3 linked regions of the Arabidopsis thaliana genome follow. The protein of the gene in region 2 interacts with the protein of the main gene of each other region in a pairwise test. Each region holds a gene or a part of one and is shown on either strand. Other genes may lie near its edges.

What was found.
Region 1: the proteins of AT4G25660 (region 2) and AT4G31830 interact in a two-hybrid assay, tested with the Arabidopsis thaliana proteins (one large-scale study listed by BioGRID).
Region 3: the proteins of AT4G25660 (region 2) and AT5G09450 interact in a two-hybrid assay, tested with the Arabidopsis thaliana proteins (one large-scale study listed by BioGRID).

Annotation. Positions count from the first base shown.
Region 1 is NC_003075.7:15,399,790-15,403,354, reverse strand, and holds AT4G31830 (uncharacterized protein), read left to right. Parts: upstream 1-2,129; 5' UTR 2,130-2,249; coding exon 2,250-2,552; 3' UTR 2,553-2,751; downstream 2,752-3,565. Other genes in the region: PGR3 (proton gradient regulation 3), read right to left, coding at 1-335; ENODL15 (early nodulin-like protein 15), read right to left, coding at 929-1,278, 1,374-1,557.
Region 2 is NC_003075.7:13,081,417-13,086,221, forward strand, and holds AT4G25660 (PPPDE putative thiol peptidase family protein), read left to right. Parts: upstream 1-1,990; 5' UTR 1,991-2,260; coding exon 2,261-2,395; intron 2,396-2,766; coding exon 2,767-3,028; intron 3,029-3,106; coding exon 3,107-3,174; intron 3,175-3,270; coding exon 3,271-3,573; 3' UTR 3,574-4,014; downstream 4,015-4,805. Other genes in the region: ACD1-like protein, read right to left, coding at 1-125, 219-407, 490-829, 911-1,098, 1,222-1,737; AT4G25670 (stress response NST1-like protein), read right to left, coding at 4,015-4,581.
Region 3 is NC_003076.8:2,939,586-2,944,482, reverse strand, and holds AT5G09450 (Tetratricopeptide repeat (TPR)-like superfamily protein), read right to left. Parts: upstream 2,686-4,897; 5' UTR 2,620-2,685; coding exon 2,585-2,619; intron 2,496-2,584; coding exon 2,207-2,495; intron 2,065-2,206; coding exon 1,159-2,064; 3' UTR 815-1,158; downstream 1-814. Other genes in the region: AT5G09460 (transcription factor bHLH143), read left to right, coding at 1-46; AT5G09445 (uncharacterized protein), read right to left, coding at 3,290-3,529.

The sequences.
Region 1 (3,565 bases), 2.3 Mb from region 2:
AAATTCCCAGCCACTGATTTGAAATACGAAAATGAAGAATCAGTATCAGGAAACGACTTTAAACCCCTCGTTACTTCTTCACTCGATGACAAATCAGGTTTTGAGCTCTTTCTTATCATAGAACCCGAAAAGTCAGAACTTTTCATGGAGACTACACTACATCTCATACTCTTCCTTCTCCAGTGTTTCTTCCGAGACCCAATCTTCAAAGCGTGGAACTTTAATCCTCCAGTAACCAAATTATCGCGACATTTTGCTTTGATGTTACTAACAAGACAAGCATCACCAACTGATATATCACCACACAAACTCGCAGAGCAGAGTAACGCGACCATTCTAGAGATAAGCCAAGCAAGCAAAACAATTCAATTCTCCGGCAAAAATTGAAACGAAAACAGAGATTAACGATGATGATTCATCACATTTCAAGTGGCGCAGATATAACTAACAAAACACAAACACGTGCTGAATAGCTATGAGCATTTTGATTCGTCTCCGTTCACCGGCTGAAAAGAGCGCGAGGGAGTCGATTTCGGTGAACCGGAGATTTTTGATGAAAGAATTTTCGAAGCAGAATAATAAAAAACTTGCCGAGAGGATAAAATCAGACTCGCTCCACTCGATCCTTACCGTTTTGCTTCCCTCCCAAAATATCTTTAGGCCCAATTCAGGCCCATTTTTAGGCCTCTTTTCACGACAGTCCAGGTTTCTTTGTGTTGCTGTAAATTACCTTTTTGGGTACTAAATTCAAAATTCTCATTCACTTTTGTTTTGTTTTCTTTGTTGATTGTTGATAGATCCAACTAATTTATCCAGAATTGAAAAAGAGGAAGAACAATTTAGATTAAAATAAATTTAATGTAGTAAATAACAAAGATTTCTACTTTATATTCCAAAATTAATAAATAGAATTAAGACTAATTGTCTTTTAAAAGAAGAAGGCCCATAATCCAAGAACAAGCCCAAATACGACACTAAATCCGCCGGCGAGCTTAGCGGCACCACTAGTAGGAGCTACGGCTGGACCGTCGAACTCAGATGGCGAAGGACCTGGAGAGAAAGCAGAGTTACGAGGAGTGATGACGACTAGGCGTAGCTTCTGACCCTTTTGACAATGACCCTCTGTTCCACTGACGAAGTAGACCGGACCAGCTTGGTCAAGCTTCACCTTTGTGTTCCCGTCGGTGTAGCTGGCTTTAGGGCTAGTGGTGTTGCATTTCTCGTATGCTTCTCGTGTCACTTGCAAAACCGAGTCTTTACCGGCTTCGTACTTGAATACTGTAATAAACATGTGACGATGTCAGAAACAGAGTATATTGAAGATCACACAAAATGTCTAATTGAAAAAAAAAAGTTGAAAATTATGGATTTACCGATAAAGTCGCCGACTTTGAAGCGAGCCTTTTGAGCCCATTCGTTAAAGGAGAAAGAAGAGGAAGGAGGGATCTTCCAGTCACCGGATTTTCCACCGACGGTAACCTCATTTGCATTCACGGACGAAAAGAAGAAGACAGAGATGCAGAGGAAGATGGTGACCAAAAGAGAAGAAGAAGCCATTGATTAGAATCTAAAACCTTAAAAGTATTAGAGTGTGTAATGTGTTTTAAAGTGTGTTGAGGATGGAGAGAGTGTGGATCTTGTGTGGTTTATATAAAGGTAGAGGACTTGGAAACTAGCCGTTTAGGAATTACGAAAAATTAAAAGGAAAAAATGGTAAATGTTAATGTATCCGTTGGAGAGATGATAAAGGCAACGTAACGGTTAGGATTGAGCGACAAAACTTGAACTCTGATAGAGAAAGTGATTTCACGGTCTTCTAGGAAGACTGGTCAAGCTAAGCTGTTTCTGTTTTTTGTTTTTGTACTTTACTTTTTGTTTGCTAGTGGGAACTGGGTTTATTGGGCCTTGAAGTTGATAAAAGATGAATAAAAGACATATCGCCTAAAGCCCATATGAGAAGCAGAAGACAAAAACCTCCAACTTTGGGCATAAATTTTGATTATAGTTAAAAGTCCAGACCCAATTTGGCACCTGGCTTAGTTACGATTCTAAGGCATGACACCTGCCTAATATGTTTATTACAGAAAATAAAGAGAATCAGCTAGGTGTCCCTTATTGAACACATTAACAAACTCCAACGACACTACGTGTCTTCGTGACTCTTACTATATCCAAAAACCTATAGCTAAAGCTGAATTTTCCATGATTAGTATAGTCCCAACCAAAAAAATACTGAAGAAGGCATAAGCATGGCCGGAGAAGAAGACTGGAGAAAAACAGCAGATACGACGAAGATGAGCTCGGAGGGAGTAAAAGCTGCCGGCGTTGAGTCATCAAAGAGGCCGCCAGGAAGTAATCCAGGTGGTGTTCTTCATCAACGCCGTAACTTGCCATACAGTTACACGACGATGGCTCTAGCCGGATTAGCTATCTCGGGGGCCATCATGTACACTGTTATGTATGCTAAGAAGAAGCCGGAAGCCACTGCCACTGATGTAGCTAAGGCTGCCACAGGGACGGCTAAACCTGAAGATACACATCCAAGAAAGTAAAATTTCAAGGGAAGAATTAAAGGGTTTATCTTCTTCTTCTTTTTTTGCTTTTGTAATTTTGTTCTTGCTTCATGCTCTTGTTGGAACTTCTTATTTACTTGTAATAAAATAACATAACGTGTCCAAGAATGGCTTATGTCAACTACTAGAGCAAGCAGAAGAATAAAATGGGAGGAATAGAGTAGTCTTGTGTAGCAAATGCATGCGTATAATTTAGATCACCGAATCCTCTACATTTCTCTGTGTTATGTCGCTTAAAAGTAGGGCCATTATTGTGGGCTTCTTTTGCGTATTAATATTTTTGGGCCATATCCTAAAAGATGTGTAGAGCATCATCATGCATGGCATTCAAAGACTACAAATCCGGTTTTGCAGTCTTTTGATATGACTTTGATTACGTTTTTATATTTCCAGTCTTAATGAAAAATAGAAAATTCCAATTGTTTATGGAATTTATTCAGTTTGGTTTTGATTTAGTTTTAGGGTAAATTCTCTAACAAGAAAACTCAATTTGAAAATTTCGAACGGTGTGATTATTTTGAATCGGCAATGTGGTCTTGATTACTTACTGTCAAGTGCCAAATAAAAGTTTAAGGAAAGAAATAGTAATTTTTTAGTCAACTACAAAATAATAGCAAGTTGATTCTATGAGACAATTGGTGATTCGCATGTCTTTAAAAAACGTTGATTGGCATAAAATAAGATCGTAACGTTATAAATATGAAAAAATTAGGTGAGTCCACTTAATGGCCCAGAAAAGTAAGTGTATTGACATAGGCTGTTAGGTAGAAACACTCATGTGTTGCTTTATGAGCATAAAACCTGGACGACAAACTTTTTTTTCTCTCCTCACCAACTGCACACATTTTATTTATAAATCAACATTTTCGTCTTTAAATTAGGCTGATCATCGTTTACTTTCTAATCAATTCTGATAAAACATTCAAAGTACTACTACTAAAAGCTTCAGTTCAAGTATCCACTACTTAGAAACATATCTAACGGCTCGTCCA
Region 2 (4,805 bases):
TCGACTCGAGCCTCGCTGTACTTGTTAAACCATCTCCTGAATGTAACCACATTAGCGTCTGATTTTGTTGGGATAAAGCAAGCTTTTTGCCAGTTTTCAGGGCCTCTCTCCAGTATCTTCCGCTCCTACACACATTCCATTACAAGATACAAATCAGTCTGGTACATTGATCAGCCTCTACTCAGAACAATGTGTGTACTAGATAGATTTGGAATTACCTCTACATGAAGGAGGTGCAAATCTGAGTCTAGAATCGTATTTTGACCAATGTGAAACACCCATCTAGGGACAATCTTATCAATAAATACACCAAAATTCCTCGGGAACGTCCATATCAGCCTACTACGACCTGGACTGACCGGAATACATATAAAGATCAAAGACAATCTCCGCTTTGACAATGCCGCCTGTATACAGAACCATACTGTTAGGTAACTAAAACATGTGACTCTAAACAAGAAAATCTTGATACAAGTTAAAATCTATGACCTTGTCAGAAGCAGCTGGTGCGGGATACTCATGTTCCTGCTCTGGTAGAGGGTCTGTGGAAGAGCGATACACACATGGTGCAATAAAATTAGAATAACCCCATTCTTGTTTTGAAAAGAACCCTTTGTTGTCTAGTTTTTTAACGTTGATTTCGAGTGGTTTCCCCCCTTCTCTGTCAATCTTCTCTGCAAGAAGAATCTGAAGGTTGGTAAAAGGATTAAAACAACTATTTGAAATACAAATTATGTATTTGCCTTTTGGTTTAGGAAACCGCATCAGTCCATAATGTGCATAAGGAACATGAGCCGGGTCCATGAGGTTTTCCACCAAGACATCGTACCTGAAAGATTTCAGATTTACACAAAAACATCAACGGAGAATTACCACACATAGTTGAAATGATGTAAAAGCCAATAGATACCCGTAAGGAATATCACGATTCCCCATCAACTTAGTGAATGATGGGTCTTCTAACTCTGGAATGTAAGGAGGCTTGTTGGTTTCAATAATGTTTTTGTACTTTGGATCACTGTTTGGCCAAAACCAAATGATCTCATGCTGCACAGTACTCGGGTAAACAGCTACACAAGCTTGCTTGAAAGTGTGGACCTGATTTGCATTACCAAAATAATCATTGATACAACCAAAGACTTTGACTTTATGTTCCATATAAACCATATGCTAAACCAATCTAAAACAAACAAATCATCATCAATAGCTATAAAAATTTACCGGAGGACCATCAGGAGGAGCTTGAGGAATGAGTTTACAGTCACCGGAACCATTAAAGCACCATCCATGATAAACACATTGCAACCTCCCCCATTGATCAATCCTTCCATCAGACAAAGGAGCAAGACGATGAGGACACGTGTCATCCATCACTTTCCATTGCTTCTCGTTCCTATCCCACCAAACAACCAAATCAATCCCCATAACTTTCTTCCCATGAGGAACCTTCTTGTCAAGATCGCAAATTGGCATCACTGGGTACCAATTAGCGTACCAATCGAACTTATCCGACCCGGGTTCGAATAGGGCTTCAGGTTCCGGTGGAGAATTCGTTGACGTAGCGGCTGATGATGATGGTGGTGATGATACTGCGGTTGTGAATCGACTTGATTTGCGGGTGATAAGGGAATTAGGAGAAATGGGTAGGCTTGGATTGGAGAAGGAACATCTGAAACGAGGTTTCGTATTGAGAATTCGGAGCGATGGAAGAGCGCATGCAGCAAGAGCAGCTTCCATGGCGTTGTGTGGTGGTAACAACCGGAGAGACGAAGCAAATGAAAGTCTTCTTTACCAATCTCTTTTGACAAATTTATAATCCAACGGTTCAAATTAAAATATCTCAGGATGTATTTAAACCAATTGATAATCATTTTTCTGGTTTAATGAAAACTAAACCGGTTAATTGAAAGAGAAAGTGTCGGTTGAGTGTGAAACCGGCGTCGGCAAAGTGAGGGTATAAGGGTCCTTTCCAGACACCACAGCATCAGTTTCTTCAATCTCCCACGTCTGAGATTGAAAAGTTTGGGAGAAGATAAACAAACTCAAAATACCTCAGCTTTAGATCAAAATCTAAAAACAAGAGTTTCGTGCAGTGGTTTCTTAGAGATCTAGTAGATTAGAGAATTTGGATTTGTTGAAGAAAAGTGGATTTGGTACGATTCTATAGGTTTCCTTCTTCTCTGAAGCTACTATAGAGAGAATCTGCGAGCTCAATTTCGTAGTAAATTAGGGTTCGTGTTTCTTGGTAAAGATAGAATCAATGGCGGAGGTTGTTCTGCACATATACGATGTGACGAACAGTGGATCAGAGAAGACTAACAACACCATAGTTCAGATCAATAGGTTCTTCAAAGACGGGATCGGTCTTGGCGGTATATTCCACAGCGCTATTCAGGTACTACTACTCCACTGCCTCGATCTTCTTCGTCTTTAGTCTATCAATCTACATCTGCACATGTATCGATGATGTCTCTCTTTTGAGTTGTTGTTTGTGTGTCTGTATGTGGAAATGAAGAATTTGAAGGAATGATATTTTTGGTTTTATCTGTGAGGCTCTAATCTAATGGCATATGGTCGTAAAGGTCTCTGTAAGATCTTGAGCTTAAGCTCCCTTTTCGTCTGTACTGAGGATCTCAATACTCGGTTCTTCAAGTAATTTTAGAAACGTGTTATGGGATTATGGGTGCGATGAACTTTAGGTTTACATGTTGCTATTGATTCGCAGGGAAGAGTGATTGAATAGAATCTTGTATGAACTTTGTGCAGGTATATGGAAACGATGAATGGTCTTATGGGTATTGTGAACAAGGAACTGGTGTGTTCAGCTGTCCTAGTGGCAAGAATCCAATGTACACATATCGTGAGAAAATTGTTCTTGGGAAGACAGATTGTACAATCTTCATGGTAAATCAGATCTTGCGTGAGCTCAGCAGGGAATGGCCAGGACACACTTATGATTTGCTGTCCAAAAATTGCAATCACTTCTGCGATGTATTATGTGACCGCCTTGGTGTGCCAAAGATCCCAGGTAAAACCATTATTGTGGGAATCAGGGTTTGTGTGTGTGTTTATGTTATGTGACGGCTTGGGTTCTGTCTCTTAACAGGTTGGGTGAATCGTTTTGCTCATGCTGGCGACACAGCCTTGGAAGTAGCAGGAAACACAGCAATGCGGGTGGGTTCTCTCTCATTTTGCTCTGCCCACGCTGTTTCTTTTTTTACACCTGAATGCATGTGGATGTTAAGTCCTTGTGAACTGTGACTTTTGCAGGTAAAGCAAGCCAAAACTGAACTTGTTTCAGCCAGTAAAGTGGCTTATCGCTTCCTTTCGAATGTTACCTCAAACATAACCAATGGTTCAAATGGCTCCAGTGGCTCTCCACAGCGGCCAGGAACTCTCAACAATTCAGACAATGGGAGCTTTAGATTGCAAGGTAGTTGGTTGAAAGGTATACTTAACACTGCCAAACCCTCCACAAGTACAGAGATAGGGAACAAAGAGGAAGATACAAATCATACAATCACCAATCAGAAAAAGCAGAACCGTGACTCTGATGTTCTACTATTTCAGTAGCAACTGTACTGATCCACCCCAATGTATTCACTTACTGTATATCCACCTATCCAAAATTTATTCGTTTGTATCCATTACTTTGTATCACGATTCGAACACACCTCTCTTTTTTTTTCCCCTTTTCACAGCAGAACGTGTGATTTTGTTAAGAAGATATTTTCAACACGTTACTGGCAAAGACCAAGCAAGTCTTAGCATATGCATTGCACACCTATTAGAGGGTTTGTTAAAAGAATGTGATATAAGATAAGCAACAATGCAGTATGAAGAGACTTCAACATGTATAATAGATACAACTCAAAATGCGTCTTTAATATTACAGCGAACGAAAACAGAGTATAAGGTCTAACGTCAAGAGAAAAAAACAGAGCATTGACACCAAAGCAAGCAGAAGGCAAATGTTTATTTTAAAAACCGAATGAGGACGAGTCGTGGCATCTGTCATCCCCGGAACATCCCATTGAACACAAAGGCGTTCCCATCAGCATTTTCAGATATCTGTAGCGCCGAGACAGCCTGAGCAGCAATCAAATCAGCTGATATTCCCATGTTGTTATCCCAAGCACCCCTCCTCGTGAATGGCGACCAGTTACTATCTCCTAGTCCATAGCCATTTGACACAAACCCAATCCCTTGAACCGCATAGCTAGCACAGCTTTGGCGAGGAACGTAGTTAGTTCTTTCATCTCTAAACAGATCCATTGTGAAACCCTTTTCTTCACCAAACTTGACTCGAGATGAATCATCAGAATCTTCGCCCAGTAGGACGTGCAGAGCAACAGCTTCTGCAATTGCAGCTCCTTCTTCATCTAACCTTTGTTGTTCTTCCAATCTCTTCTGCTTCTTCTTTTCAAGCTCAGCCCGGATGGCTGCAGAAGTAGCAAGAGCTTTCTCCAAACGTCTCTTTTTCTTCTCAGCTTGTTTGATACGATCAAATTCATCTTTACCATGCTTCTTCTTCGCTTTCCTAACGACTGGCTGAACTTGCTTGCACACCGTGTGATCCATTATTGCTTGACTATAAATTTCTAACTAAAAAACTGCACTAAACTCGATGATGTTGTAGAGGAACTCAAGAACTACACCCACTCTGGTATATAGGAATACCTCATGGTGCGGACAATACAATCCCAGAAAGAAACAACAGGAGACAACTGAAGAGAGAGGTTATAAGAATTCGCAGACTTATTCTTCGAAATCATTCGTCCAACATTCCCGCACCCCTTAGACTC
Region 3 (4,897 bases), on a different chromosome or scaffold from region 2:
GAAGCAAAGCTTAAACTCATCAAAGGGTTTGAATAACCATTGGTGAAAAACCTACAACCCCTTTTGTCCTATTGATAAGGCATGTTTGGTTGGTTAAAGAGAAGACATGGGACAAAAGATAATCAATGAGGTAAAGGACTGATGAAGAAGATTCTCTCAAATTCATTAACGTGGGTTTGAAACAATTAGAACACGCCTGGTGACCCTAGTGGGACCGTATCCACTGTTCATCTAGCTGGATCAATAGTGGTTTACTTTTGGATTTGGCATGCTCTCTCAAAAAAGAACCAAAAAAAAGTCACTTTCTTCTGTGCTTGGAGTGGAAGAAAAGTGAAAGAAGGGAAAAAAGCAAAGTCTTGGTGCTCATTGATCGTTAATAATTATCTTTACTCGTGAGTAATAATAATATCTCTGTGAAGGTCTGGTGGTGGTGGGTGTGGATGAAGAAAAATCAAAAAGGCAAATATTGAAATTTTTGGAGTGGTTGTGACTTGTGGAAATTGAAATCTTCCCACTTTCATTAGGTGAAAATCTATGTCCCCACTCTCTCTTGTCTCATTATTACTCTTCTGTTGCTATCAATCCCATAACTTGTCATCTTTTTTGTTTTTTCTAATCTCTCTGGCTCTTAAGCTCTTCAAAGGCCTTGTAGTTTTGTACTATTGTAATGTTATTTGCTTCTGTTGTTTCTCTCATGGGTCTAAACATGTTTGTGTATCATGTTCATGTAATAAACTCGAGTGTTAATAATGGAACCTTCTTTGGCTTCTTACATGCTAGGATTTTGCTCTAACCTTTCAAACTATCATTTTTTCTATACCAAAAACAAATTTTGTAGACTTATTATTAAACAACAACCATACAAGAAAAACCTCCACAATCTATTTTTTGTTGTAAAATTTGGACTTTTTGAAATTTGACGTTACATATGAAATGTTATGGACCTTGCCTAAGGAAACACATCTTCCGACTATGCAGCAAAATCTTCTGGTGAGGAAATCTATGTGTCTCATGACCTCCCACGTAAAGAACAAAAAGATATTTAAGAATCACAGTGAAGAGAAGAAACCTCTATTTTATTCATCCACCATGATTAATGAGCTTGATCTGATTCTTCTTGCTAAGAGCATAAAATTTTCACCAACTTATTTCTCCATCTTAAGATGATCCTTCATTCTCCAAGCTGCATTTGTTATGCACCAAGATCAAGTGAAAGCCGCTGGCTATTCCCTCTAAACCAACATCTCGAAAAGCATTCAAGATCCTCAAGCAAGCAGAAGCATCAAACTCTGTCGTTTTAGACTCTTTCCACTGATGGATAATCTCCTCGGCTTCTCTCAAATGACCAAGCATTAGATAAGATGAAAGAACACAAATGTAGCTTCTACTACTCAATATCTGGTTGGTGTTTCTCAAAGACTTCCAAATCTGATCTATCATAACCTTGTTCCCTAGACCAGTGTGCAGAATCATAAGGAAGTCATATGTGATCCATTCTCTTTGCGAAATAGATTTCTCAGCTTCGACAGGCAAAGTAGACTCTGCATTAGTTACTCTACTACTGTTTATGTAGATGCTAGTAAGATCGATATACCGAACCCAACCCTCATTGGAACTAGCATCATGCCTCATCTCTTCAAGAATCTTTCTAAGCTCATCTATATTAAAGGTTGCAGCACATGAACTTAGCCACAAATTATAAGTAAAAATATCCGGAGAAACCTTTTTCTGCTTTAACACTTCAATAACCTCAGGTACTTTCTCAACTTGCCCAACTGACATGTATAAAGTCATCATCTCGTTGTATGTGATGGCACCAAAAGTGAGACTATCACTCTCAATGATTCTCTTGAACAAGGCCTCGGCTCGTTCGGTTTGTTTGGAGGCAGCATAAGCATGAAGGAGAGAAGTATAGGTTTCAGCTGTCTTTGAATCTATATCCAGACCTTCAAAGTAGCGTTCAGCTGCATCGATCCCGAAAACTTTTGAAATCAGATCTATGCGTGAGGCGTAATCAGCATCTGAGATCTTTGATTCTTCATGCTGTACCATCCACTCTGTAACCTGTTAATAATACTTGAATTAGCTCCCAGAAGAATGCAGTTTTGTGCAGCAACACATAACAAATCATAAATTGTGCAATCAATCTAGAAACTAGGAGCTACGAAGAAAAACCAATGAAAAAGGAAATGATCGATGTTAGTACCTCAAGAGCGTGCTTGTAACGGCGAGTTCTCCTAAGCTCTTTGGAGATCTCTCGGAGTTCATTGATAGTCATTTGATTCCCTTCTCCAATCCATTTCTCGAGAACAGTAGTCGCGCTACGTTTCGGAAGTCTCAATCTGAAAATCCTGCTCTTCAGATCGTCTTTCTCCTCCGATTCCTCGACAAGGGAGTTTCCGATTGCTGCGTCAGCATTGTACGACTTGGAGAATCGTGACGATTCGGCGTTTCGAATGAAATTGCTTCCGAGAACACCATTATTCGTCAATCGACTAAATTCATAAGAAGCAGTGTGAATCAATTATCTCAGGAAACAAATACGAAATCAGTAGGAGACATAGAGAGGTGGAGGGAGACTCACCATCTAAGACTATGGAAGAGCGAGCGAGTCGCCATGAATTTTCAGTTCCGACTGAAGAGACCAAAAAGATCTAAAAACCGATCACTTACTTCGAGAAACTCGAGTTTCAACAATTTTGTGTCGAAAAAATAGCAAAAATATCTAATGGGCCCATGAAAATCAGCCCATTAGCTCCAAGATAAACAACCACCAACGATGTGGCAATTCGAAGTTGAAGGCATTAAGTATTTGGGGATTGGTATAAGGCGTGGAATGTTTGGGTTGGTTATTGTGAGGCCTTGAATGGGCTTACGGAGTTGAAGGCTAACTCTTGATTCTTATTATTTTATAGATTTGGTGTCGTTTGCTTTCTTTTTTGTAAACTCTCAATCTAGTTTATTTCTATCCAGTCTCTCGATTTCGTTATTTGTTACAAACACGATTATATGGAGAAGTTGCTATCAACTATCATGCGGCTGATACTTTTTCTGTTATAAATTTTCAGGACTCTAATGAGGCCTTTAAACTCTTTAGATTCAAATGTTATATTTTTGGTTACTTACTAGTTACTAGTTATCAGTTGGAACTTGAAACCAAGCGTTTTGGTGTCTTCACATAGAGAATTAAAGACTTGCCTAGAGTTAGATTTGCAATTTGCATAGTATATTCAAAAGTAAACATTTCATATTTGATAAAAAAAATAAAGTATAGTGTCTAGTAGGCCTGTTACGGATCCGGATATCCGGGTTTTTTTGGAGTATCCGGATCCGGTCCGTAACCGCCGGATCCGTAGATATAATATTCGGCTCCGCATCCGTTTGCTACGGATATTCGGAATCCGGGTATCCGCAAAAAAAATCGTCGGATCCGTTTTTTTTCTATGGGGATCAAATCCGATTCTCTTTTACAACCCAGATCGAATCCACCAATGTTTGTCATAAGCTTTCGCAATCTACAAACCACCATTTCCAAGCCATGGCTTTCTTCTATTCTTCACCTTTAACGACATTGATTCAGTTCCCAATTAAGCGACGAGCGCACGATCTCGAGTCGGAGGTAAGTGGTGACCATTGACGAGAAGTTCTTGCGGGGCTAACGACTGAGGAGAAGATCTCGTTCATGGATTCATGGCAATGGAGATGAGATAGAGACGGTGAAGGAGATGGTTTGGAGACGGTGAAAGAGATGGTGATGGAAGAACGGCGGCAGAGAGAAGACAAGTTGTGAAACCCTAATGACGTGTCCCACCAAATCACAAACAAACTCAAATTATGTCACTTTGTCGTATTGGGCTTATATGGGCTATAAGATTAATAATATCAGTATGTATTAAGCCCATGATATCAATGTATAAGCTTAATTGGTGTAATATCATATTACTAGCGGATTTTAGTCTCAGGACTAGTAATATGTAGATATTTTGACGGATCCGGATATCCGGATGTAATTTTTTTTGTTATCCGGCTCCGGATCCGGGTCCGTCTGATCCATAAATTTGTTATCCGTATTCAGATCCGTTTAGTCCGGATATCCGATTTTTCGGAGCGGATCACGGATCCGGATCCGGATATTCGCGGTTAGCGGATTTTAGTCCCAGGGCTAGTGTCTAGCATTGAAAAGTAAAAGATATTAGGGGAAAAAGGAAAAAAAAAAACACTCTTTATCATTTGAGTTCAGGGATCTGATGTGAGGACAAGAATTGGAAGATGTTTTGAAGTGAAGGGGGAGTGAAATAGATTTGACATAAAACATTGGATATATGACTTGATTAGGAAATGTTTGGATGTGAAAATTGGAGTCCAAGATGATTTTTATGGGGTTCAGTGTTACCAACTCTTAAAGAATGTGGCTCTTATTGAACGAATAAAAATAATTGTAGGTGTAAATTGTGTAACCTCCAATAAAACCTTTAACAAGTTGTTATTGGAGCGACTTCATTGAAAGCTTACTGCTTTCACTATCGTCAGTAGAGTCCATTGATTCGACAGGCCTGCTCGAAGCACTCAACACCAACCAACCCACTGCTCATATTTAAGAATTTATGGGACAATTCAATTCAAGTTACTAAAAAGGTGAGATTGGTAGGAAAAACTGGATGATAAAAATAAAATCATTTTTTCCAGTCCCACAATAAATACTATACTATTGTTTAGTAAGCAATACGCCAAAACCTATAAGCTATAGCTTTTATTAAAAGTGAAAAAGTGATTCTATATGTTCTCTTTTCTCTTATCCCCCAAGTCCCAACATCGCCTTTATTCTCCACCTTCCTTTAGATTATTCATTCTCTCTTTTTGTTTGTTCTTTTTACCGTATCATTGGTATCAACACAAC